Linked DNA regions of Saccharomyces cerevisiae S288C. The protein of the gene in region 1 interacts with the protein of each later gene in a biochemical or structural test. Each region holds a gene or a part of one and is shown on either strand. Other genes may lie near its edges. The genes, in order: LFT1 and LAA1.

Region 1 (10,890 bases):
GAAACTGAAATTAAGGTATCACGAGACACATGGAATACTAAGAATATGCGTAGTTTAGAACCTCCGAGATCGAAGAAACGAATTCACCTGATTGCAGCTGTAAAAGCAGTAAAATCAATCAAACCAATACGGACAACCTTACGATACGATGAGGCAATCACCTATAATAAAGATATTAAAGAAAAAGAAAAATATATCGAGGCATACCACAAAGAAGTCAATCAACTGTTGAAGATGAAAACTTGGGACACTGACGAATATTATGACAGAAAAGAAATAGACCCTAAAAGAGTAATAAACTCAATGTTTATCTTCAACAAGAAACGTGACGGTACTCATAAAGCTAGATTTGTTGCAAGAGGTGATATTCAGCATCCTGACACTTACGACTCAGGCATGCAATCCAATACCGTACATCACTATGCATTAATGACATCCCTGTCACTTGCATTAGACAATAACTACTATATTACACAATTAGACATATCTTCGGCATATTTGTATGCAGACATCAAAGAAGAATTATACATAAGACCTCCACCACATTTAGGAATGAATGATAAGTTGATACGTTTGAAGAAATCACTTTATGGATTGAAACAAAGTGGAGCGAACTGGTACGAAACTATCAAATCATACCTGATAAAACAGTGTGGTATGGAAGAAGTTCGTGGATGGTCATGCGTATTTAAGAATAGTCAAGTAACAATATGTTTATTTGTTGACGACATGATTTTATTCAGCAAAGACTTAAATGCAAATAAGAAAATCATAACAACACTCAAGAAACAATACGATACAAAGATAATAAATCTGGGTGAAAGTGATAACGAAATTCAGTACGACATACTTGGCTTAGAAATCAAATATCAAAGAGGTAAATACATGAAATTAGGTATGGAAAACTCATTAACTGAGAAAATACCCAAATTAAACGTACCTTTGAATCCAAAAGGAAGAAAACTTAGCGCTCCAGGTCAACCAGGTCTTTATATAGACCAGGATGAACTAGAAATAGATGAAGATGAATACAAAGAGAAGGTACATGAAATGCAAAAGTTGATTGGTCTAGCTTCATATGTTGGATATAAATTTAGATTTGACTTACTATACTACATCAACACACTTGCTCAACATATACTATTCCCCTCTAGGCAAGTTTTAGACATGACATATGAGTTGATACAATTCATGTGGGACACTAGAGATAAACAACTGATATGGCACAAAAACAAACCTACCGAGCCAGATAATAAACTAGTCGCAATAAGTGATGCTTCGTATGGCAACCAACCGTATTATAAATCACAAATTGGCAACATATATTTACTTAATGGAAAGGTAATTGGAGGAAAGTCCACCAAGGCTTCATTAACATGTACTTCAACTACGGAAGCAGAAATACACGCGATAAGTGAATCTGTCCCATTATTAAATAATCTAAGTTACCTGATACAAGAACTTAACAAGAAACCAATTATTAAAGGCTTACTTACTGATAGTAGATCAACGATCAGTATAATTAAGTCTACAAATGAAGAGAAATTTAGAAACAGATTTTTTGGCACAAAGGCAATGAGACTTAGAGATGAAGTATCAGGTAATAATTTATACGTATACTACATCGAGACCAAGAAGAACATTGCTGATGTGATGACAAAACCTCTTCCGATAAAAACATTTAAACTATTAACTAACAAATGGATTCATTAGATCTATTACATTATGGGTGGTATGTTGGAATAGAAATCAACTATCATCTACTAACTAGTATTTACATTACTAGTATATTATCATATACGGTGTTAGAAGATGACGCAAATGATGAGAAATAGTCATCTAAATTAGTGGAAGCTGAAACGCAAGGATTGATAATGTAATAGGATCAATGAATATAAACATATAAAACGGAATGAGGAATAATCGTAATATTAGTATGTAGAAATATAGATTCCATTTTGAGGATTCCTATATCCTCGAGGAGAACTTCTAGTATATTCTGTATACCTAATATTATAGCCTTTATCAACAATGGAATATCAGCAATCATCAGATGAATGTTAAAATTGTGTAAGGATGCTCATTCTGTTTCGTTAACTTTCCAGTTTTCTCGAGGACTTCTGGTTCATTATACGTGAAATTATTTACCTAACCAAAATTATCAAACAATTCTTCCTTACTTCAGCTAAAGATTCGGCGAGACAGAGGTTGAACACAATGCAAGCGCATCGATATTTTTACGGCCGCAGTTGAATGGATCCAAAAGCATTGGCCAATTTAAATGAAAGAAATAAGTAAATTTCTAAAGATTTATCTAAGTGCCTCTTCTTTCCTGTATTCAATAATTTAGTGTCTAAAACGCAAAGGTATAAATTTGATAATGTTCTTTTATTAACTGTCAATAAAGTATATATGAAAAAGTGTGAAGAACCTTCGTATAAAATCTATCTAGTAAAATATTTTTAATTATGTGCGGATGTATTGTCTATTCCCATGTGCTTTGCTTATGTCCTGTTAGAGGACTTTTAAGTATGCTGTATACATGTTTTAAATTTTTGCCTTTATTCTTTCTCTCTCTTACTATATCGCTCTCAGACCTGCTGGGATGAACGACTAACGTTTTGAGCAATCATATCAAGCTCATACTCTTGATTTGTTAGGTCGACACTAATAGAATATGGTGCGATTTTCTTGCTTCCTAACTGTTCGAAGTCTTGAAATCCCTTTAACTCGTTACGATTATCTTGTGTCGAAACTGAATGATATTTTTGTAATAGATCTTGCTTATATCTGAAGTAATTATAATAGCATACATCTGCCATAATAATAAGCATTCCTAACCAATTGTAAAAACCACTTAATCTTTCAGAAAGAATAATTATACCAAATATTACCGTCAAAAGTTCCTTCACTATACCCACAATAGATACGGTCAGCACGGGCGTTTGCTCCAAAATACTAAACTCACAAATTGTCAACAAAAAGACTGCAAAACCAGGTAAAATTAACAAAACAATACCCCTCACAATGGATAGGACGGTAGTTTCCGTGCCGACACCGCCATTGCTCGTATCAAGCCTAAATATGCTAGAGCTGAATATACCAGGAAATGGTTTTTCCACAAGTAGCGAGGTAAGCAACAGAGTAATGCCCATTATAGGAGCTAACTGGTGGATTGTATGAATTGGGTGAGGCTTGGATTCTCCAAAATTCTCCAGCATTTTGTTATTGGCGAGGTTAACAACAGGTTCATTATCGACATTATCTTCATTTTCCGTGAAAAGGGCACCATCAGATTCCTCTACTGCTGCAGCGGTGTTAGTTTGAATTGGGTTGTTCCTAAGCATCAACTGCGTATAAACCCACCTTAACCCAGAAAGACAGCTACTTGCTAGGACAAGAAAGCTGCCAAAAATGACCAAGGCTTGGTCGTTTTTGGTACTGGTGGAATCGCTTGGTTTGAAAACCATTAATGCTACACCAACAAACATAATTATTACTGAAAGTGCCAACTTCCAATGAAACTTTTCTAGCTTGAAGATACAGCCGAATAAAAGGACAAAAGCTATGCTCGAAGATTTGATAATTGTATAAATTGTCAAGGGAACATACTGGAAGGAAACGTTACTGAGCCCGATATCACCTGCAGAAGCGACTGCCGTAGGGAGTAAAAATTTTAGAAAAAAACTCCAGTTAAAACCATTATTCTTTCTTAAAACGTTTTTCACTGGCTTATGCCTGAGCTTAATGTATATGCCGGATAGTAACCATAAAGTAGCCTGATGGAATGTTGTCACCAACACGGGATACCCAATACCCAATCCGTCCTTCGGATCGAACATCCATCTATTGTATATGGAGAGAGCTATTGAACAGAAATACCATCCAAATACAAATGCCAAAAAGACAGTCCTATTCATAGCAAAATGTGACACGAGAATTGAAGGTATAAACACTCGCTGTAACAACTTCAAGTGATCGTGGAAGTGATGAAAATGCAGTTATGAGTATAATCAGGCCAATTGACACTTTAAAAAAACAGAACAACAGCTTCTCGTGATGCCACTATCCCTTATATTTCCAGTTCTAAGCCATCTCCTTCTCATTCTCGACAAAAAAAATGGGTGTGATTATTTTGCGCTTTATTTTTTGGCGTCTCGTCGCCGATGACTCTAATAGATGTTGAAGCCTACAAGCATCTATTATATTTTCTTCTTTGGTTGTAATGGGATGAATGAATCTAGAGTTAATGAAGGAGTGCTGGCAATGCTGGGCTCGCTGGATGGATGATAACTAGATTGTGCAGGTACCTGTTCAAATCCATCACCATCATCATGTTCACTGCATCCAGTGTTAGTAACTGCGGGCTCGTGTACTTTGGGTTCAGCTTGTTGATCACTCATACTCTCTTGCTTTGATTGGATGGTATTTTTATCACTGAAAGTTGTATCATCGTCAGGTGATAGGCCAGATTTTTGGCTTACCTCATCCTGAATTTCATTTTTGGCCTCTATAGGCTTTTCGGATTTCTTTTTTGAACCTGATTTAGAACCAGAATGGCCCCAAAATCCAAAAAAACTCTTCCTTTTCGACTTATTTTTCTTTGTCTTATCACCGTCTGATTTCTTCTTTTCTTTGGGCAATTCCTTAACAACGAATTTCTGTAGCGGGTCCACTTTGAAATCGGAATTAGCCCACGTAGAAGGTTTCTTGCCATCAGCTGTATGTGCCTCATTTCTCTCAAATCTTTCTTCCACCATCCAACTTTTGCTATTGGGCTTTATACACTTATCAATCTCAGCAGAAGCTCTATCAAATAACTGACTGGTAGTAGTAATTTTGGGCTTGTTGCTTCCTCTGCTCGGAGAGCCCTGCTTGAAGGTTGTATTTATAGTTTCTTGATGAGAAGTAGGTGCTACATTATGACTCCAGGAAAATAGAACTGGCCCATCCAGCTGTAAAGCGCCAGAATTCATAGTTATGGTTTTTTCCTCATCAATCCAATCTCTTTGTATTTGCCGACATTTCCCATCAAGTTTGTCGGTACTCAATTTATTCCCCATTTGCATAGGTGAATGAAACAAACAGTTCATCAACCGCCTACCGTTCGCTACTTCATCTAATAACCCATATAACGACACATCTCCATTTTTGGCTTGCTCGGAGTCATCTTGCGGTGTGTATTCCTTACTGAACAACTGGTCGATTATTTTGTTTTCGTCCATAATTTGTCCTTCCCAAAAAATAACCAGCTTAGATTCTGACAATGCTTGTTTCTTTAATTGATGATCTGTAATATTCGTTGATCATTAATACCATTGATTTCAATATTTCATGTTTAATCTTTTGCGCGAAAATTTCAATTGCAAACCAAAATATACATCAACAATCTTTTATCGGTCAACAAATTTGTCGATATAACCAAATATACGTCGTCGCTGCCCATTATACAATCATCATGGTAGTATCCATCATACCGCAATTTCCTGATATCAAGGTTTCACTAGCATTGTTTGAACAGGTTAAAAATGCTAAAGAAATACGCTCTAAAATGAGTGAATTGTCGACATCCTTTGCCTTTATTGACCCCCGGTTAGTCTGTTCGGGGGAGCAGATGTATTCTGCAATTTACAAGACCTTAATAGAAGTGAAATATAACAAGATGAGAACAAGAAATTTGAATTCCGAGTGCGTACTATGTCTTTCACCCACTTCCAATATTAGTGATGCTTTCCTCAAATTCGGAATCAAAGACGATTCGTCACAGTTAATATGCCTTAAGTTCCATACTAATACTGACGATGTAGACAAAGAGCAATTGAGGACGATTATGACTTCTATAGTAAAAGGACAAGAGATCGAGTTTAATGATGACAATTTATCGAGATTTTATGACGAAGCGCTCATAAGAAAAGTATGTTTTAATAATAAATTCGAGGTAAAAACTTCAACAGCCTCACCAGAAACACATTGTACTAACTTCACCTTTGTTTTCCTTTTATTTTGTTTTTACCTATTAGATCTATAAATTAAGTGATGATTTCAAGCCCCAAGACGTAAATGGTCTCTCAAGAGCTTTGGTAGACGCTATTCAATTGAGGGGTGTGTAGATAAGAGATATCTAACGATAAAATTATAAAAAAAATTCTTTGATTATTTTTCAGATTAGTATTATTTGTTCTCCGTGAAGTCAGTGTATCGAACTGCCAAAAGTTCTCCTTATATACATGTGCGCGTATAACCATCACTTTTCTTCAATGGTTCTCTTGAAATTGGCAAAATGATTAACTAATTCCAGTTCAGTTGATAATGTATCGTATCTGTAGTTAATTCTAATATCAGGAACATTTGTTCTAACCACATCGTTACCTTCAACACCACTCTTGTCAAAATCTTTCCCTATCCAATGTTTTTTGATTTGTGCTTCCCACCCACTTTGCAACACGGAATTTCTTGCCAATTCACACATATCTACATTAGACAATTTATAAATTTGTGCTGCAACTGAGTATTCTTCGATTAATGGTTCTCTGGTATATGAGAATTGTAAAGGATCATCTGTGGATAGTGAGACATTCAAACCTCTTTTAAAGTATCTCGGAAATGGGTTTTTATCATAGGTCAAAAATAATGCGTTATTAGAAAGGGGTGACATTGCGATACCAACCTGATCTAAATAGTATAAGTATTGAACAAATGGAACTTTCCTCAATAAAATACCATGTGATATACCATGTGCCAATAGATATGCTGAAACGAGATGCTCGGGGTCACCGGCTTCACCACAATGTGGTCTCAAAACCAAAGTGTTAAACCCTCTCTTAGCCCTCCATTGATTCAAAGACGCGACATTTGAATACAAATAGTACAGGTAATAGGAATAAGGAGGGTTTTGAGGAGCCTCCCAGAGTGATGGCTTGGGATATTTCCTATGAAAGCGGCGATCAACCTTGGATTCATCATCGACAGAATCAAACCCAATTACTCTCTGTAAAAATACATGCAATTTTGGATGAGACTGAGGATTTTTGGTCACTTCAAATAGTGGCTGAAACAGATTCTTACAGATGTCCTGGAAGCTTTGAACAATGCCAGTTTTCTTGTAAATATCATATAACCTCGGAATTTGGACTAACCAACGAACATTATGGGAAATAACTTTGTTGTCAATCACCCAGCTAGCTAGTTTATCCCATTCATCGAGAGACCTGCCATAAACAGAAATTCTATACTCACAGTTTTGGTATTTTGAATTCTCTAAATCGAATATGACTTGTTTGGTAATGTCAGCCAAGTAGGTACCCTTGATGTAGTTGTTTGTCTTCAAAAAAATTTCTCTGAGACGAGATTCACCGATAGGGTTATATTTTAAGTTGAATTTATCGAATCTGTGGAATGTATCCTTATGTGCATGCATATCTAAAGTATCGATGGATAAATCATATCCAGTCAAATGCAAAGAACGGAATACTTCGTCTAAAGTTAGTAGTTTCCCGTCCCTGAAAATAACCTTTTCATCTTTGGAATGTCTCAATTTGTGTTTAATGAAACGTAATAAGTGCTTTTGGTTCATACAAGCAGAATGGTGAACGTGAGTGTCCACTTTCCTAACATTATAAAAATCCCTGTGTGGGTTTCTTTTGGAAACGCTAGTTTCTTGATATTCGTTCAAGAGATAGTAAAGATTCCAGCGTGCTTCTAGGTATTGCAGCCTTCTATAAGCAAATGATTTAGCGGGACCGTCTGATGAGATGGAAATCATTTTTTCTAGATCCAGATAGTAGTCACGAAGGGTAGGGATTTGAGCAATTAACTCATCCGTCTTACCTGATCTGTGTACCACGTACGAGTCGTCATCGTTGAGGGTAAATTCCCAATCTGGATCCTCACCAGGAATTTCACATTTCGTAAAATCGAAAACTTCCGCATCCGGCTTGTTTGTTACTGGCACAACAGTCTTAGTGTCTGAGTTGTATGAAGGTTTAGGTGGTGGTGGATAGACTACCCAGCCTGGCTTATTTTTTGGGTTTTGATCATCGTTTTGCACAGATATGGTCTGATATTTGGCTCTCAAATTTCTACACTCTGCCACTTTGGAATACAAGTCAATCAACTCGGAAGAGGGATCATCAAGAAACTGCTGTGAAGCATCATCAGCCAACATTCCCATTTTATAGGAGGCAGAGGTACGTACCTGCTTATTCACTACCGGAGCGCCGGCAAATGACTTGAGCGTCTCTGGCAAGATATGCTGAGCACTAGCAGACAAGGTCCTCGGTTTACCCCCGGAATTTTGAGATGCATGGTCTGCCGAGTCATGGCCCTTATTCATCGCTGCTATGTTGGAAGAGCTACAATTGGTAGAATGCGATGGTTGCTCCAAGATGGCAGAGTGAGAATCATGCTCATCTAGGGCCAACTGTTTGGTGCCATTTTCCAACAACTGCTGATTCTCGTGATACGAGAAATTAGCATTCCGAGAATCAGCAGCTAAACTTTCGTGTGAATCTTGCTGCTCTAAGGGGGGTGTCTCATCATCCACTACGACACCAGCTTGTTCATCACCAATCTTTCTTTGATCTATGTCAATGACTAGTCCTGAACCATCTTGTTCATCGTGTGAAGGAGCTGGTTCTAGAGAAAGGTCGTTAAGCCTCTGTGTAGCCTGATTGTCCATAATTTTTTTTAGAATGCCCCCTTTTTATTTGTTATATAATTTATTAATCTGGCGTACTAGCAGTTCAATCGAGTTTTGCTGAATCAAAATTGGCTATAGCAGGGAGACTATAATAAAAATACTATTAATATCCGATAATTGACTAGTATACGAGAAACGCTGCTAATTCTGCCTGTAGAGAGAGAGAAGAAAAGTCGTCAAGAGATGCCTTTTTTTTTTTTTTAAAATTTATCTATTTTTTGATAATATCCTTTAAACCTTGTGCTACTAGAACTCCTTTCTCATCATCGCCAGGCGCAAAAAAAAGATGAAAAAGGAATGAAAAAAGAAAAGAGAAGACCCCCACGTGCCCTAAAAATAAAGTTAGGGCATCTATAAAATAACTAGGATATATATATTGATCACCCTGAACGGAAATCAAGGGTTTTAAAGAGCCCTCAAAATTACTGTTTTAGGAAGCCCCCTTTGTTTTTGTTTTGGTTTCAATTTGTGGTGGCTAATCTGGACATCGATCTACTTGTATAGCTGTCAATATACTATGCGGAATACATGGAAGAGAAATAGTCCTCAGTCATTATTAATAGTAGACTGAGACCATACGGAGTGAACGTAGAGGCCAGAACAACAAACAGTAGAACGGTAGCAGTACTCAGTTAGTGCCGCGATGAATAGTGACTTGGAGTATTTAGAGGACGGTTTTGATCCGAATTCAATGAAAGTTGCGACTTTGAGGAGGATATTGGTAGAAAATAATGTCGATTTCCCATCTAATGCTAGGAAAAATGCGCTGGTGGGGCTGTTCGATGAAAAGGTTAAACCGCAGATCCCGCAGTTACGGAAAATGTATCTGAACGTTCGGCCCAGCGATGAAGGTATTGTGAAAATGGACCGTCCCTCATCTTCCCCATCTATAGCTTCCCCTCGTAGAAGTAGACGAGCTCGCAGGGAGAAATCTGCTTCCCCCATGGCCAAACAGTTTAAGAAGAATAGAATACTGGATGATGTAAGTAATGATGATGATGATGATGATGATGATGATGATGACAATGATAAAAAAGACGATCCTTTAATTGTACCTAGTGGAACGGATACCGATGAAGTGGACGATGAAGAGGATGATGTGATAACATCAAGCTCCAACAAATCAGACACCAATGATTTCCAGCAAAATTCCGATACTCGTAAGAAAAGGAAAGACCCTGATTCTGACGACTGGTCTGAATCTAATTCAAAGGAAAATAAAATCGATAATAAGCATTTGAACCTCCTATCATCAGATTCAGAAATTGAACAGGATTACCAGAAGGCAAAAAAGCGTAAGACGAGTGATTTGAACCAAGAGCATGGAAATGGCTCTGCCATTTTAGGAAAACTTTCCGTCAAAACACCAATAAAGAACACAAATAGAAAGCCAGTAAGCATGGATAATTTTAACGATTCGTTGACTTCAAGCGGTACGGAAAATGATCCATTTGTACCGAACATACGACACAATCCAAAAGAGCTCGGAACTGCCAATGGAACAGGCCATAGCACACCCTTGAGTAAGTTAAAAGTTTCTGCCTCATTTGCGGATAAATTGCCTCAAAAGGAGGTACCATCTACAATACTGGTTCCAGAAGTGGAACAGCAAGAACCTTCTCAGAGTGAAAGAACACCGTCTTTGTTTTCGTCCGAAGGCTCTGGCTCAGAGTCGGAAGCACCCTTGCTTCCAGAGATCACCACGCCAGGTCCTCATCAGCCTATGGGTAATACCAGCAATAATGTGGTCGAAATGATAGATACAGATAGTAGTAACTTGGTATCGGATGAAGATGAAGTTTTAGTGCCTACAAGGATCGAGACTCCCCAATTACCCACAGAGAAAGACGTCGAAAAGTGTGAAGCAAGAGTGCAAGAACTTCAAGAGGAAGTAAATGAGCAATTAGAGCATGAAAATGGGAGTGAATTTGATGTTAAGCAAGGATCTGGGAAGGTCGGGAACAGGCATAAGTTCAAAAGAGCACTCAAATTTTTGAGCAAATCATTACTGGCGCTATTTTTATTTTGCATATTCATTGTTATTCCTCTCTTATTTGGCCTCTGGTATAGAGAGCAAAGACTGCTCATAGGTTACTGTGGGCATGAAGTACCATCCCATCGAGTTAGTGGCAATTCCTTCGAGTTTATTCAAAAACTGGATAATTTGTTGCAGGACTACAGACCGAAATGTA
Region 2 (15,576 bases), on another chromosome or scaffold:
TAATTACTGAAACCTCCAAAACTGTCCCAGAAGCGGATTCAAAACCAAGTACGATCCATCAATCAGTTCATTCAACTGATATTTCTAATGATAAACTAGACTTTCTAAGTTCCTTCACCAAGATTTTCAAGTTCTCGAACAATGAAAATCAAAGGCTAAAGCAACAACTACAACTAGCCTACAACTTAAATTTAATTTCCAATAACTTGCAAAACATTAAATCGTTAATAAGTCTCGATTTATGTTACAAAATTTTACAGGAAACAAGCGAAAAGACGGATCAAATTTACAAATTTCATACGATTGAAAGTTTGCTACCATTGATCAAGCTACGCTGTCAAGAGATTTTCAAAATTTTAATTACACAATTGAATAAAAATCACGTTAAACCTGCATTTGAAAAGGCAATCCTGCTACTACAAAAATATAATCCTAACGAAATAGAACAAATAGAAATAAAATTCAATTCACTTTCGCCAGCCAATACTCAAGTCGAACCTTTAGTACAATTCACTGAACTTATCAATATAGGTGACATAATATTACAAATGATTTCCATTTTTTACAAGAACGAATTGATTCCCAAAAAAATTATCGATAAAAATAAAGATTTTCTTAATGATGTTATCCAATTAAAAAAAAATTTTGAGACTTCTATCGATGATTTTGTAGCCGAAGGTTTAAATATCGGTATAAACAAACTAATGGATGAAATCTCATTTGTATTCAAGACTCTTCAATTGCCTGACGATTATAATCCACCGCCACCCTCTAGGAATTCTCCAATAAGGGATATAAAGCCAACCAAATGTGCTATCAGGGTAGTCGAGTTACTTTCTAATCATTGCTTTCTACTGACTGGTGCCACAGACAAGGGTACTATTGACGTGTACCAACAAGAAATTGGCGAGAGATTCTTTAATGAAATCGTCAAACATCTGAAGAAGTGCTTCATATCTACGGAGGGCGCAATTTGGTTAATCTGCGATTTAAATTACTTTTACGATTTTATTGCTAACAAATTAAAACAAAAAAATGTTGTTCCCTATTTTGTTGGGCTTAAGTCTATTGGCCAGTTATACATCATTTCAGGCAAGGACTCGAAAGAGTTGGGAAAGCTTATTTCTGATCTTGGGAAATTCAATGGCATTTTTACGCAAGAGGAAATTTATGAATTTGTTCAGAGGAGAAGCGATTGGGTTCGTGTACGGAAAGACGTTGAAAAGGTAATGTACGGCCTAGGCATACGAGATTGCTGCATTATGTAAATTCCTATCAATGATTAATTATATTACTCTATATAGGTATGAAGTGCGGAAATAAAAGACTGTTCACATATTAGATTATTCAAGATTACGCGGGCTCTATTTTTCCCTGTTAGCCACACGCACACAAGGGGCATACAAATGTTCACTCCATTTATAAGAGGATTCCACACAAGATCATCGATAACATGGTTCAGTACGCTCCCTTTCTATTAGGAAAGTATGTTCATTCTTCATACGCTATTCTATTTTTTTTTTTTTCACACTTATTCTTTTACTAACGCATAGTTAACCATTTGCTGTTTCGAAGAGGCAACATCAAACAAGTCGATGTGCTCTTTCCCAAGCTGGTCTCTATTGCAGATTTTCTGATCCGTTATTGGCAATTATGGTAGGCTGTCTCAGCTACTATGTGTACGAAAGGAAAATGGGGCGTCCACAAGGTCATCATTTACACGAGCTCATAAAGAAGCGATGGGACGATCGCAAATAATAATCCGGCGTGAGGGGAGTATATATAAGTTTCTGGCGATATGTAAATACCATAATAATTAATCCTAGGATCTACCTTTATACGCATTTATCCTATAAAAACCCAATCTTTCAGATCCACAGTATTTTTATATGTGTGATTTCCTTGATTGTCTCAATTTAAAGAGTAATACATACAACTTAGACCAAAGAATTATTCAATAGATGACGCCGAAAGAATCTGGAAAGCCTATTTCGTGTGCAATGAAGAAGTTGAAAGGCAAGAGATCTAAGATTTTGGTTTTATCTAGAGATGCGGGCACCAACGAATTGAAGCCAACGAAAGGAAGAGCACATCGAGCTTGCATAGCTTGCAGAAAGAGGAAAGTACGATGTAGTGGTAATATACCATGTAGACTTTGCCAGACTAATAGTTACGAATGCAAATATGATCGCCCCCCACGGAACTCATCGGTATTTGATAGGGAAGTAAGCGATGATAGTTCCTTATATGCACAGAGAGCTTCCCACGAACGGGAAGATAGCAAGGGCCCTATAAGTTCCATTGATTACAAAAAGGTTGTAGAGACGATCTTTCCACCTGAAACACTCCGTCAAATACTTGCTTCTTCTTCTTTTAACAGCCAGAATTTTTTGGACACTATTAAAACGTGTCTACTTCAAGGACAATTAAATGTTAATCAGGTAATACGTCAAAGTCTACCAAAAGATACGCCTTGGCACATGCAAACAAGTGTTCCATTACCACCCAGAGAGATTGCCTTGAAATTTATTCAAAAGACCTGGGATTGTGCCTGTGTGCTATTTAGGTTCTATCACAGACCTACTATCATTTCTATCTTGGACTCGATATACGAAGCAGAAAAACATGGCAAGCAATATACTCCAGAACAAGTGAAAACACAACCTTTAATTTATTCTGTTTTAGCAGTCGGAGCCCTTTTTTCTAAGGAAGATCTCAGCAAGGATAGTAAAGCAACTAGGGAATTTTACACTGATGAAGGCTACAGATACTTTTTAGAGGCCAAAAACTCTTTGGACTTTTCTAATATTACTGACATCTATTCCATTCAAGCTATATTTATGATGACGATCTTTTTGCAATGTTCAGCAAACTTGAAGGCTTGCTATTCGTTCATTGGTATCGCTCTGCGTGCTGCGTTAAAGGAAGGTTTACACAGGCGGTCTTCCATAGTTGGTCCTACTCCGATTCAGGATGAGACAAAAAAAAGGCTCTTTTGGTCTGTGTACAAACTAGATCTGTACATGAATTGTATTCTTGGTTTTCCAAGCGGTATCGACGAATCTGATATCGACCAAGAGTTTCCTCTAGACGTCGACGATGAAAATATATCTACTATTGGAATAAAGTTTCAAGATTGGCGAACGATAAGTTCCTGTGGAATGAATAATAAGCATACAAAGCTTATTTTAATCATGTCTCGGATCTACAAGCTAATGTACTCTTTGAGAAGAAAACCATTAGAAGAGGATTCTAGGACGCAGATTGTATCGTTGAACGATCAATTAGATAATTGGTATGCCCAATTACCAGATATTTTGAAGGTTGACACAATACGGTATCGTCAAACGCAACCACCTCTAACTGTTTCCGCAAATGATACTAGTTCTCCATACACTAAACCTAAGAAATTATTATATCTGGACTTCCTTCTATCCAAAATCGTACTCTATAAACCATTCTACCACTATATTTCTATAGACCCGTTAGATATCCCAGAGTTCCAATTTCAAATTCACATGGCGGAAAACTGTATTGAAGTTGCCAAAAAAGTTATTCAATTATCTTATGAAATGATTACGCAAAACCTTTTGAGTGGTAGCTACTGGTTTTCCATTCATACAATCTTTTTTAGTGTTGCTTGCCTCAAATTTTATGTCTACCAAACAGAAAAGGGCCTGATACGAAATGGGAAGGTTGATTCGGATATTCATAACGCTACGCAGCTTGGCAGTGAAATATTATCACTTTTGAAGGGTGCTTCAAATGCGAGTAAACGTACTTTTGAAGTATTGAACCAATTGTTCAAAGAGTTTAACGAGAAGACCTCTGTATTATCTGAACAACTTTTGAATATAGTTAAATTGCAACGGCAAGAAAGTAGTGGAGCTTTAGTGCCCCAGTTGCAGACAAATAATAATTTTACGAAGTGCCAAGGAGAATTACATCATGGACAGCAGCATCACCAAACTCCAGCCACGAGTCTTCGTTCCATTCTGAATCTTCCACAAGGGGAAGCTGATCTAAAGTTTCAGAATACCAATAATGAGAGCCATACAACGACAGCTGCACAAGAAGAATACTTAGATAAACTTCTAGCAGAATTTGAGGAATTTGACTACTCAATTAACAGAGTATTACCTGATGTCATCGATTTTTCAGCACTAATTGGCCAAGATTCTTCTGCCAACAATCAAATATTTTCCTCAGAATTCAGCTCTGACCCAACAGTAAATTGAACCTTTAAACTCGCGACTTCTTTATATCTGTATATTCTTCTACATCCTTCTTTTTATGTATTATTATTTTATCTGCTTCCTCACACCACATAGTGGCATACCGTGTGTGGCCGTTTTTTTTTTCATCGCCATATTGAAACAGTGATTTGTTATTATTCAATTGAAATAATAGTTATTAGGTTTAAAAAAAACTAAAAGATAAAATAAATAGCCCAGGCCACGAAAATGGCAAACCGATCCCTCAAGAAAGTGATAGAAACATCATCAAACAATGGTCACGATTTATTAACTTGGATAACCACCAATTTGGAAAAGCTTATATGTTTGAAAGAAGTTAATGATAATGAAATACAGGAGGTTAAGGAAATACACACTCAACTGGATGAGTTTGTGAGGTATATCTCCGTACTAGAAAATACGGATGATTTAGAACTGCATTCAGTGTTTATCAGTTTGTCTCAGCTCTATACGATTTCCATATGGCGTTTGAAGGACGAATATCCTGGTGTAGTTTTTGATTCCGCAGCATTCTTAACAAACGTATTGTGTGAAGAAGATGTATCCATTGATGATGGAGATACCGACCCTAACCAAAAGAAAAAAAAGAAGAAGTCAAGTACAAAAAAAAAAAAGTACATATACTCACCGGCAAAAGATATCGCATGTACCATACTTGTTCAATTATTTGAAAATTTTGGAAGTAGCATCTCTTCCTTAATCCCATTGTTATTTAATGCTATTTTCAAAAACCTGAAAAAAATTATGGAGAAAAGTAAATATTATCATGCTACCTTCATGACAACCCTTCTTCAGCTTTTTAATGCGATTCTAAGAAATTCCAATAATGATGATAAAATCCTTGATCCAGCCACATATGCGAAATTTTCGAAACTATCCAAAACCGTTTTTGACAGTATTTCCACTGATGAGAAGGACTTTTCAGTTACTTTTGTGTCTGTCCTAATTGAATGCTGGACAGCTCATTTCAAACAAACTAATTTTATCAGAGAGCACTCCCATGATATTATAGAGACCATATATTCTAGATTTACCGAAGGTGAAATAGGTGTTTATGGTTTTGCAAACGACGAAACTCGTATCTTTACCGCAAAATCTTTAGCGGAGATATTATTTGATTATTACTTTTCTAAAAATATTTTAACTCTACAAGAAGTATGGTCCATCTACGTTAAGATATTCTTAAACTGTGATACACGAGACGTGGAAAGTGGTTGCTTCGAATCTATTATTCATTTGATAAACTTGAATTTATTAGCTGACAACACTTTTTTGAGTAACTCAAAATATTTGGATATAGTTCTCTCTTTAAGCGGCGTCTTCAGCAGTTACGAAGTGAATAATAGGAGCATGAATACATTATCAAGGTATTTGAGATACTTTCAACATATGCATGAAGTAATATTGCCACATTTGAATGATTCTGCAAAGACTCAAATGTTGTACTACATCCTAGGTTGTTCTGATACTTACCAGAGCTCCTCTAAAAGTGATTCAGCTTCAAATTTCAAATATAGTATTGATGCGAAGCCTGAAACACAGTGGCTTACATTACTGCAGCTTGACTTCACGTATGTGTTAATCAGCGACTTAGGTTCTACTTTCACCACTGAGGAAAATACCGTTAAAGAGATTAGAGATAAACTGGTTGATTTAGCTACATGTGAAATCTTTACGATACGAGTTCACACTGTGGAAATTTTGAAGGTTTTTTTGAACAACTGTCCAGAATATCTTTCGGAGACCATTGAAAACTCCTTACGTGCACTATCCACTGATTTTAAATCTACAGGAAAATTTATTTTTCATAAAAATCATGGCCATGCTTTTATAATAGCAAATCTAATCAAAGGTGCCGAGAGCGATTATATTTCCTATGAGTTGATCATGAGAATTACAGTGTTTTCTACATCATTCATTAAGAATAATACTACATCTACCTCTTCTAATTTGTACTTCAAGGGTCTTTTATGCTGGATATTATTGATAGGATTGATGAATTATAAAGATGAACAGTATTTGAAGCTGCAGATACCCCAACTATTTCTTTTCTGGAAAGTTTTATTAACACATACCTACACATACCACGACGAGGATGAATTATACAAGAACCTAGAAATCCGAAATCATGCATTGACTTGTTTATTGACGTATTTAAGCAATACGACAATTGATAAAGAAATGGCTAAACAAGTATCATATTTGCTAACTAAGTGCTCCAATTTTAATCATTCCATTGACCTGAAATCGAAAAACATTGACAATGCTTTACTGCATAATGAAAACAGAATTTTACAGGTATACCTTAAGCTGGAGAAATACATAAATAGCGATTTTAATAGTTCTTTACTAATATTAATCGTGAAGAATTTTTCAGATCCCAATCTTTACACCGAGTCAAGTAGTTCCGTTTTGGGAAGCTTGAAAGATATTGGTAACAGGAAAGTGAGTAACAAGGACGACATGGAAAGTAATATAGTATTAGAATCTTCAATTAATACTTTACTTCGTCAAAACAACGGCTTTGCATTCGGCCTATCCAGCAAAATAACTGGGGACCGTATCGTGAATTTATCGATGTCCAGTGCTTACAAGTATGATGAATCAATAAGTGGAAGTTGGCCATCCAAGGATTACAATTGGTACAATATTTTCGAAGTAGAAGTATCAAAACCAATTTCACCCATTTTATCTTTAGATTCACTGATTCTACTATATGGATCTGGGTCTTATTCCCAAATTGACCGCTACGCACCTCAGGTCACTACATCTTTAATCGACTCTTCTATGGAACTTTTTTCATCTGTATTCCCTTTTTTGAATAGCAAAATACAGTATTCCATTATGGAAACTTTAAATTTGTCCATGTTCTCCAAAATGACTACACCATTGAGAAGCGTGGCTGTGGCTGCTAATGTTTGTAGTGCTCTGCATAATGCTTTACGCATCATGCAAGAAAACAATCTAGAGTTGGACTATTCAGTGGGGCAGCTAATTATCGAATCAATAAAGAAGATTCAGTTTTTTAATGACATTTTTCTCACAAAAATCAAGGCAGATTGTGTAGGATTGCTGACAGCGGCTATCGCAAGAACACTTGGCGATGAAGAAAGACAAAAATTCCTTACAGAGCAATCAAGAATATTCATTAAAAACGTCGCAGATATGGACGAACCATACTTAAGGATGTTTCATGTCTTATCATTGGCTACAATTTTTAAATATAACTCACAATATGCTAATTTTGAAGAATACTTTGATGTAATTTTTGCATTAATGAGGGATCCACACCCTGTTGTTCATTCATGGTCATTGAAAGCAATGCATATTCTTCTTGAGAAACATTTAGTGATTGATTTAAAGACGGCAGCTCTGTTGCTAAGTTCTATGGAAGAGCTTTTGGTCCAGGATAAGTATGGTATTTACGGACGCTCTACTCTTCGCTGTAACTATAATAGGGACTTTAATTCTCACGTAGCAATCGGTGAAATTTCAAGGACATTGACTGAAACTGTGGGGCCAAATTTTCTAGAACTTAACACCAAGGTTCTTGATTCGTTCAGAAACATTACACTCTCCATGTTAATTTCAAATAATATTCTCAACAGCATAACCAGCATTAAAATGTTTGAAAACATAGCTACTTTTAAAATGAAAAACATTCTAAACTATGAAATCTTTATTCTTGCTTCTAAGAGCATAATTAAAAGTTCAATAGTGACTGGAATAGGCTCATCATATTTTGACACTACATTCACGGGCTCAAATGAACTCATTTCTCGAACTTCAAGTCTGAAAGGCGCCTTTGAAAACTTTGATTTATTGACGTTGTTGTACAAATTACAGATGGAGGAATTTTTCATGAAAGAAATGGAAAATTTGAGCTGGAGATATCTCGCACTTTTTCCAAATTCCGGTTCTGTCAAGAATTATTTTACCGAATGGATATTACATACTTTCAAAAGAGATAATCATTGGTTCGATAAATTATACTCAATATTTAATATGAGTTTAGGAAGACTCTTCCAAAGCTATAACAGAGACGTTTCAGCCCTACTAGAGGTAAATGGCCTAAAAAAATCTTCAGAAAAGGAAATTAAAGGCGAAGAAGAAGAATCAATAGCGAATGTTAACCAACTGACTGACACAGATGCTGGTGGTCTCGACTCTGAGAACCTGCAATGGAAGAGCAGACAGATTATCTTAAATTTAATATTAATGTTGTGCTTAGAATCCGAAAAATATGAAAATCTGCTCCTTGCCCTCAGCAACAAAATTGCAGATCTCATTAAAATATCATTTCGTGGATCTACAGTGAGGAATGAAGGCATGAAGTTAACGGGACTACACATTTTGAATTTTGTTCTCAAGAACTACTCCACCATGAGAGATCCTCAGGTTCCTGGATCGTCGATTTTAGAACAGCAAGAGGCCCAAATAACTAGCGCATTAATGCCTGCTTTTAGTAAAGGAAGCTCACCTACTGTAATGTCCTTTGCTATTACTGTTGCTGCTGAAGTGTTGGCATCGAATATAATGCCACCAGATAAATTGGGAAGAATTTCACAATTACTAATTGACCTTCTTGGTAACTTTAAAGATCCTAATTCCGGTATACGGATAGGGGAAGCTATAATCGTTACACCCAAAGCGAAAAGAAAAATTGAACTTGCCGTTTTGGATGCGTGGGCTGAGGTAGTGCAAAGATCCATCACGTCGTCAAATGATGCGCTTTTCTCTTTTACCAGGAAATATTGGAGCATTTTAGTCCCATTATGGATCATTTCTTTACGTGAATACATGATGATAAAGTATAACGATAATGATTCTACTGTGCAAGTAAAGAATGACTCGAAAGAAAATAGTCTCATTGAACCAAGAAGTACGAAAATTGAGTTATATGAACCGGTCTGGTTAAATTTCGTAGAGGCCCTTGGGTGCACTCTGGATTCAGACGTTCAAGTCATTTTGGCATCTCTTAACGATGAGGAATTAGAGTATTTTCTTTTTATTTTATTTAGCCAATGTTTGGAGGCTATCGTCAAAAATATTGATGATCATTCAGTCAAGATGCAAGTTTTACCGGCTTTACACAATGTTTTGAAGAGCAATCTGTGCATAAAAAGTATATTTGAGGATGATATTATTACTGAAGTTGTTGAGATTATGGACAGACTGATTTCTACAGGCGACAGTAAAGAAGAATTTTTGCTTGTTGATATCATCAGTGACTTGATCATTGGGTATTCGAAGTGTAATGCTACTCCTGAAACATTTCTACAAGATATTGACAAACTATATGAGCTACTGCGACTACTGATGACAATTATTTCTGAGAGGTTGCCATTTATTAAGTATAACGTGCTTACCAGCGAAGAAGATGATAATGAAATAAAAATCTCTCCCACAGATATTAGTCTGTTGAAAAAAACATTTATTGCGTTCGAATCAAATATCAGTAACTTCGACAATATGTTCAAAGTAGATCTTTATTCATGTCTTTTATTCATCATAGGGAAAATTTATGAATGTAGTCATCGTGAAGTAATAATTCCAATCATACTCCCACTTTTCAAGGCACTAGTAAAAGCGCTTACGGAATCTGAGGACGAAAAAAATATTGTGTTACTAGAAATATTCTACGGGTCAATAAAAGATGTTATTTATCATAAGCTGGATTCAAAGAATAAAGTTGCAACCATTTTGATCTTGCTGTCTAATGGATACTCTAAGCTAAGTTTTCAGGAACTGAATCAGTGCGCAAATATTCTCTCGGAGGCATTGAATAATCCTGCTACGCAGCCAATTGCTCTACAAGGCTTCAAGAGAATAATATCTAATATTTTCAAATACCCGTTGTTGCAGTATTTTATGAAGTTGGTTATAAAAAGATTCTTTCAAGATATTCAAACAAACGATTCCTTATCGCAGGCAAGCATTAAAACTAAGTTGATAATTCAGTTTTCCGAGGAAGTAATCAAACAAGATCACCAAAAGGCATCATTGTCAATTGCTTTATGTCTTTCTTTCTTTGCCGCATATCATAGCGCATATACAGAGAAAATAGACAACGAAGTAGCAAGTGGCATAGTTGCTTTGGCTAAATTGGACAAAAATTCATTTAAAGAAGCCATTTCTAGCACTATAAGTCCTCAACAAAAAGCAATTATAGGTTCCGTGATGGAGGCATACGTTAAATCGCAGTCTTTGGGCTCTGTCGAAGAGGCCTTTCAACTGAAATCTTTCGACTAATTGCAAGTCGGATGCATATGCACGGAAATAAAACTCATCGCGAAAAAAGAAAAAAAAAATAAAATCTGTGAAAAAATATCAATGGTGCAATTGGTTATTGGTCACTCATCAAGTAATTTGTTAGTTTTTATAGAGTTACAATTGTATAAAGATAAGAACATTTAGTTAAGTTCCCCACTTATTAGATCCCAAAGTTAAAGTTATCATGTGCAGTAGGATACTCTTGTCCGGTTTAGTCGGACTGGGTGCTGGTACTGGCTTAACCTATCTTCTTTTGAACAAACATTCTCCAACGCAAATCATTGAGACACCTTATCCACCTACCCAGAAACCTAATAGTAATATTCAATCTCACTCTTTCAACGTCGATCCTTCCGGGTTCTTCAAGTATGGTTTTCCTGGTCCGATTCATGATCTGCAGAACCGCGAAGAGTTTATCTCATGTTACAACAGACAAACTCAAAATCCTTATTGGGTCCTCGAACATATAACGCCAGAATCATTGGCTGCAAGGAATGCTGACAGAAAAAATTCCTTTTTCAAGGAAGATGAAGTAATTCCAGAAAAGTTTAGAGGTAAACTAAGAGACTATTTTAGGTCGGGCTATGATCGAGGCCATCAAGCCCCAGCTGCAGACGCAAAATTTTCTCAACAGGCCATGGATGATACATTCTACTTATCCAATATGTGTCCTCAAGTAGGAGAAGGTTTTAATAGAGACTATTGGGCGCATTTGGAGTACTTTTGTAGGGGATTGACTAAGAAATATAAGAGTGTAAGAATCGTGACTGGTCCATTGTATCTACCCAAAAAGGATCCCATAGATAATAAATTTAGGGTTAATTATGAAGTTATTGGCAATCCACCCAGTATTGCTGTTCCAACGCACTTTTTTAAATTGATTGTTGCAGAAGCACCAACAGCCAATCCTGCTAGAGAGGATATTGCTGTCGCGGCATTTGTATTGCCAAACGAACCGATATCAAATGAGACGAAATTGACTGACTTTGAAGTTCCTATAGATGCTTTAGAGAGAAGTACTGGGCTAGAACTTCTGCAAAAAGTACCACCTTCAAAGAAGAAGGCATTATGCAAAGAGGTAAATTGTCAAATTGTAGTGAGAGATTTCTCTAACGCGGCGATCAAACAATCGAAAGATGTGAAATTGTTACCTCCTCCAAAAAAAAGGAATTGAATGTACTGAAAAACTGTAAATATAAATTAATTCATAACACAACGATAGAATAGCATGAAAGAATATAACAAGTCTAACGCATATAACATAAAATAATACATTTATTTGATGATCAAAAAAAGAAAAGAATTAGGATGCAATGCTTGGATTTAGTATATATTTACAGAAATTTGTTTTGTTATTATTTGCTTTGTTATTTATATCGTAAATGTGCGTTTGGCCGTTCATCTTAAGTAACGTTTGACAGCCGACACACCATGCTTTTTAATATCTTGTATGATCTCCTTGTTTGTTTTGAACTCTGAATTTCTAATTTGATGTTTTAAGATGAAATTCCAGTCTAACTTCAATTCCTCAATCGTCATACCGTTCTGGTATAGTTCTGCGCACGCCCAAAGAAAAATGTCTGTTCTTCCTATCTGCAGTGCGCTTAATGCAATATTCCTTAAAATAGTAAACCTGTTTTGATTATTCACTTTTAATTTGACATCACATGGGGAGGATGCAATGAATGGGTTACAGTTCGATTTTGTCCAGTATGTTTTACTTCTCTTTGCAGCATTTATATAAAGTAGTTTTGCCAAATCGATATCCTTCTTGGCATTGGCAACAAATTTACCATCTCGCTTTTTATAATGACAAAGTTTTTTAATGTATAAAGCGGAAACCACATTCCAAAGAGAGTTTCTGTGGTCAGGATCAAAATCATGTGCCTTCGTCAACAAATCGTTTACAAGTGCCATCAAATTATCGGTGAACTTGACCTTTGAAGCCAATTTCCAATCAACTACTTCGTTAATTATTGACCCATAGGCTAACATTGCTTGTCCGGGGGGTATAGTATCGAGTAATTTGACTGCCTTAGCGATATGATCGAGGTTTTGTGTTTTGAAAAGGTGAATAATTATTGCTTGATAATTTTCTTGCGAAAGCGCCCTGAAATTTGTTGTTATTTGCTTCAAAACCCTATCTACACCGTTAGAATCGTTAAATTTCAAATGCATTCTTAGCAATGAAGAAAGACATCTCTTGTTAAGCCAGACAATATGATGGTTTTCGGGTAAAGTGTATCTGTTAATGTTCTGCATGAGTTCCTTGGCCATTGTTAAAGAGTCTTGCTTTGTAATGAAGTCAATAATTGCCGGTAATATCAAAGGGTTATTACAATAGTACTCTGGAGTTAATTGCCAAAACATTTCGCTACATATAGATCTATAGGCTCTATTATGGGTACAAATCTTGAAGACTTTATAAATGATTCTGGAATCATGTGCAGAAATGGAAACATAGTGCTCTTTGATTTTGTTCCAAATAGAATACACACTTGCAACATTTCCTCTTCTATAATTTTCATCAATGGACTTGTACGCAAGCAGCACTTGATCATCCCGAAGCTTCAAATCGTTAGTCAAAGAATAGTTTATATTCATCAGTTTGTTCAGTATAGCCTTGCATAATTGCGGGGCTTCATTACTTAAGCCGAGGGCCTTATTAGAAAGAGTTTCTAATTGAAACCTCGTTAACTTTATTCCGCCTCCGGTTATACTTTCGAACAGAGAGTTCAGTTGTAAATATTTGACTAGATGAACATGATCATGCAGTGGGTTTGGGTACGCTAATACTGATATTATTTTCTTAGCATATTGTTCGTCTAGCTTTTTATCATCTGTAAATAATCTGTAGTACAGCAGGAAAAGGTCGGCAGCCATAACTATGTCTCCTGTGCCGATGGCATCATCAACACACCAGCGCATAGTATCCAATTGCGTAGTCAAGGGCTTTTGATGTCTTACGGATGAAACTTGGGAGACCACTTGATTGACTAGATCCAAGTTTTTCTTGCATTGGTACAAACATTCTCTTCTATAAATTCCTCTTGTAGTCATAGATGAGGTTTTTGTGCGATTGATGAAACTGATGAAATCTTCGATCTTGACCTCGTGTAATATAGAGCTTTCCAGTAAGCTATTTTCTTGTTTCCGAAGACTTTTGTAGTCCGCCATGTCAGACCAATATTTCCGTATTTTCAACTTGTCATTGTCATTTAAATTCGCATTTGCTTTGATAAGGGCCAAGACCTGTTTTTGAATTGGATCCCTGCTGCTGTGGTTGATTCGTCGCAAGGTCCTGGTAGGTACCATTTTTATAAACCTCTCGGTCCTGTACCGAACGAGACGAGGTAAAAACATTGCATGGAAAGGGAAACGTGCAAAATGCAAACTACTGCTATCCTAAAGTGCTCACTGTTTATTATTACTGGATTTCAGACGTCGCTTCCCACATCGTCCCGTACAGCGTTCCATGATGATATTATACCACTTCTTTATTGTTTCTTTTTTTTCTTGAGCAGAAAGTGAAAAAAAAAAAACCAGACCCTTTACCACGTGACCGATTTTGACAACATGAATATGAATATAGTATACACATATATAGAGATACAAGCGAGGGAACGGGGCCCTTTAGTACACTGGTGAGGCGGTCAGTCTCCCAGAGGATCCACAGGCATCGCACATAGACCACTCCAACGCCTTTACAACGCACACGTAACAGTAGTTCGCACGACAACAAGCGATCTGGTATGGGTTGGTTGGAAAACCGCCGCAACGGGGGCAAACTGTCTTATAAGTAGTCGTAGAACGAGACCTTGGTGGTTTTTTAACAAAGGTCAAGAGTCCTCTTTTCGTAAGTAGTGTATTGGAAAAGAGTTCTAATAGTGCATTCCATAGCAATTGTCTATTCTGGTATTCTAACCCAGCGAATACAGAGTTCGAATAAAATTCAGAGGCAATTGCAGAACCATCCCGAATCAACCTTGTGGAATGGACATTAAAAGCCCGGTATAACGGCGACAAAAACGCCCTCGCATTGGGCCCTTCCGCTGCTAGAAACCTCAGGAAGTTGGTTACATCACAGCCGTGATACAATAAATTAACCCATTTGTACAGCTTCAGCCACATCATCTGGTTCCCACAGTGCGGCCCATTAAAAATAATATGTGTGATCTTCTTCCACACGTACCCTGCCAAGACAGTGACGACATACAAGGTGCGTTTCCTGCACTGAAAAACCACGCCACTGAGTGCGGATCCATACGTACAGCTAGAGCCATAGTGTGGCAGGAACCTCGTCGCGCACATAAACACAACTGTGTTCAGTGCCAACTCCCATTCCTCTTTGTGTTCACTCGTATTGAATGCTGCATTGAACTCGGACCAAAACTGTCCATACAATTCTTTATCAAGCGCTATCGAGTCGAGCTGTGCAACTCGAGACATGCTGCGTTGCCTTTAGATTACGTCTTCTCAGTTATCTCGGCAATCTCTCCTCGTTATGCTTTCCCTCCGTCTTCACTCATCCCTTATAATGCGTTTCCCAGCAACCTTATCGATAGAATGGAGGGGAAATCGCATCCGTTCCACTCCTCGGATCGATACTAACTTCCGAGACGTTGCATCAAAGGCCAAGACATGGCATTAGTCACCCTTGTTGCAACGATAGACGCATACTACGGACCCCTCAAACCTCCCTACCTGCCCGTCGCTATCGCATTAATTTTCTTTTTTTCCACTATTTTTCCGGCCCGCCACACCTCCGACTACAAGACGCCACATCTACGTTTTGTCACACAAAATCCAGGACAATAGCCGTCTGCAAGGCACCAAGGTTTTCAGCAGTTGCTTGTTGCTGCTGCCTGTTAATCACATCAAACCCACTGCAAGGGCAGTCGATGGGTCTGTAAACGCCTTAGCAATCGTTGTTGAAGAAAGAGAGCTCTTATCATCATGGGGTGCCCATCATTTTTCTTTTTTTTTCAAATTTTGGGCTATTCAATGAATTGTTTCGACTATATATGGACAATCATCGGAAGCTGTG

What was found.
Region 2: the proteins of LFT1 (region 1) and LAA1 form a complex in vitro, tested with the Saccharomyces cerevisiae proteins (one study listed by BioGRID).

The regions. Positions count from the first base shown.
Region 1 is NC_001145.3:200,184-211,073, forward strand, and holds LFT1 (Lft1p), read right to left. Parts: upstream 5,226-10,890; coding exon 4,203-5,225; downstream 1-4,202. Other genes in the region: YMD8 (Ymd8p), read right to left, coding at 2,592-3,920; CGI121 (Cgi121p), read left to right, coding at 5,459-5,914, 6,021-6,110; AMD1 (AMP deaminase), read right to left, coding at 6,245-8,677; SRC1 (Src1p), read left to right, coding at 9,342-10,890.
Region 2 is NC_001142.9:36,321-51,896, reverse strand, and holds LAA1 (AP-1 complex accessory protein LAA1), read left to right. Parts: upstream 1-4,463; coding exon 4,464-10,508; downstream 10,509-15,576. Other genes in the region: RCY1 (Rcy1p), read left to right, coding at 1-1,268; NCE101 (Nce101p), read left to right, coding at 1,454-1,485, 1,629-1,758; YJL206C (uncharacterized protein), read left to right, coding at 1,962-4,238; NUC1 (ribonuclease), read left to right, coding at 10,714-11,703; CBP1 (Cbp1p), read right to left, coding at 11,928-13,892; PEX2 (ubiquitin-protein ligase peroxin 2), read right to left, coding at 14,163-14,978. UniProt on the Saccharomyces cerevisiae protein: Involved in localization of clathrin adapter protein complex-1 (AP-1) and subsequent AP-1-mediated clathrin-coated vesicle cargo loading.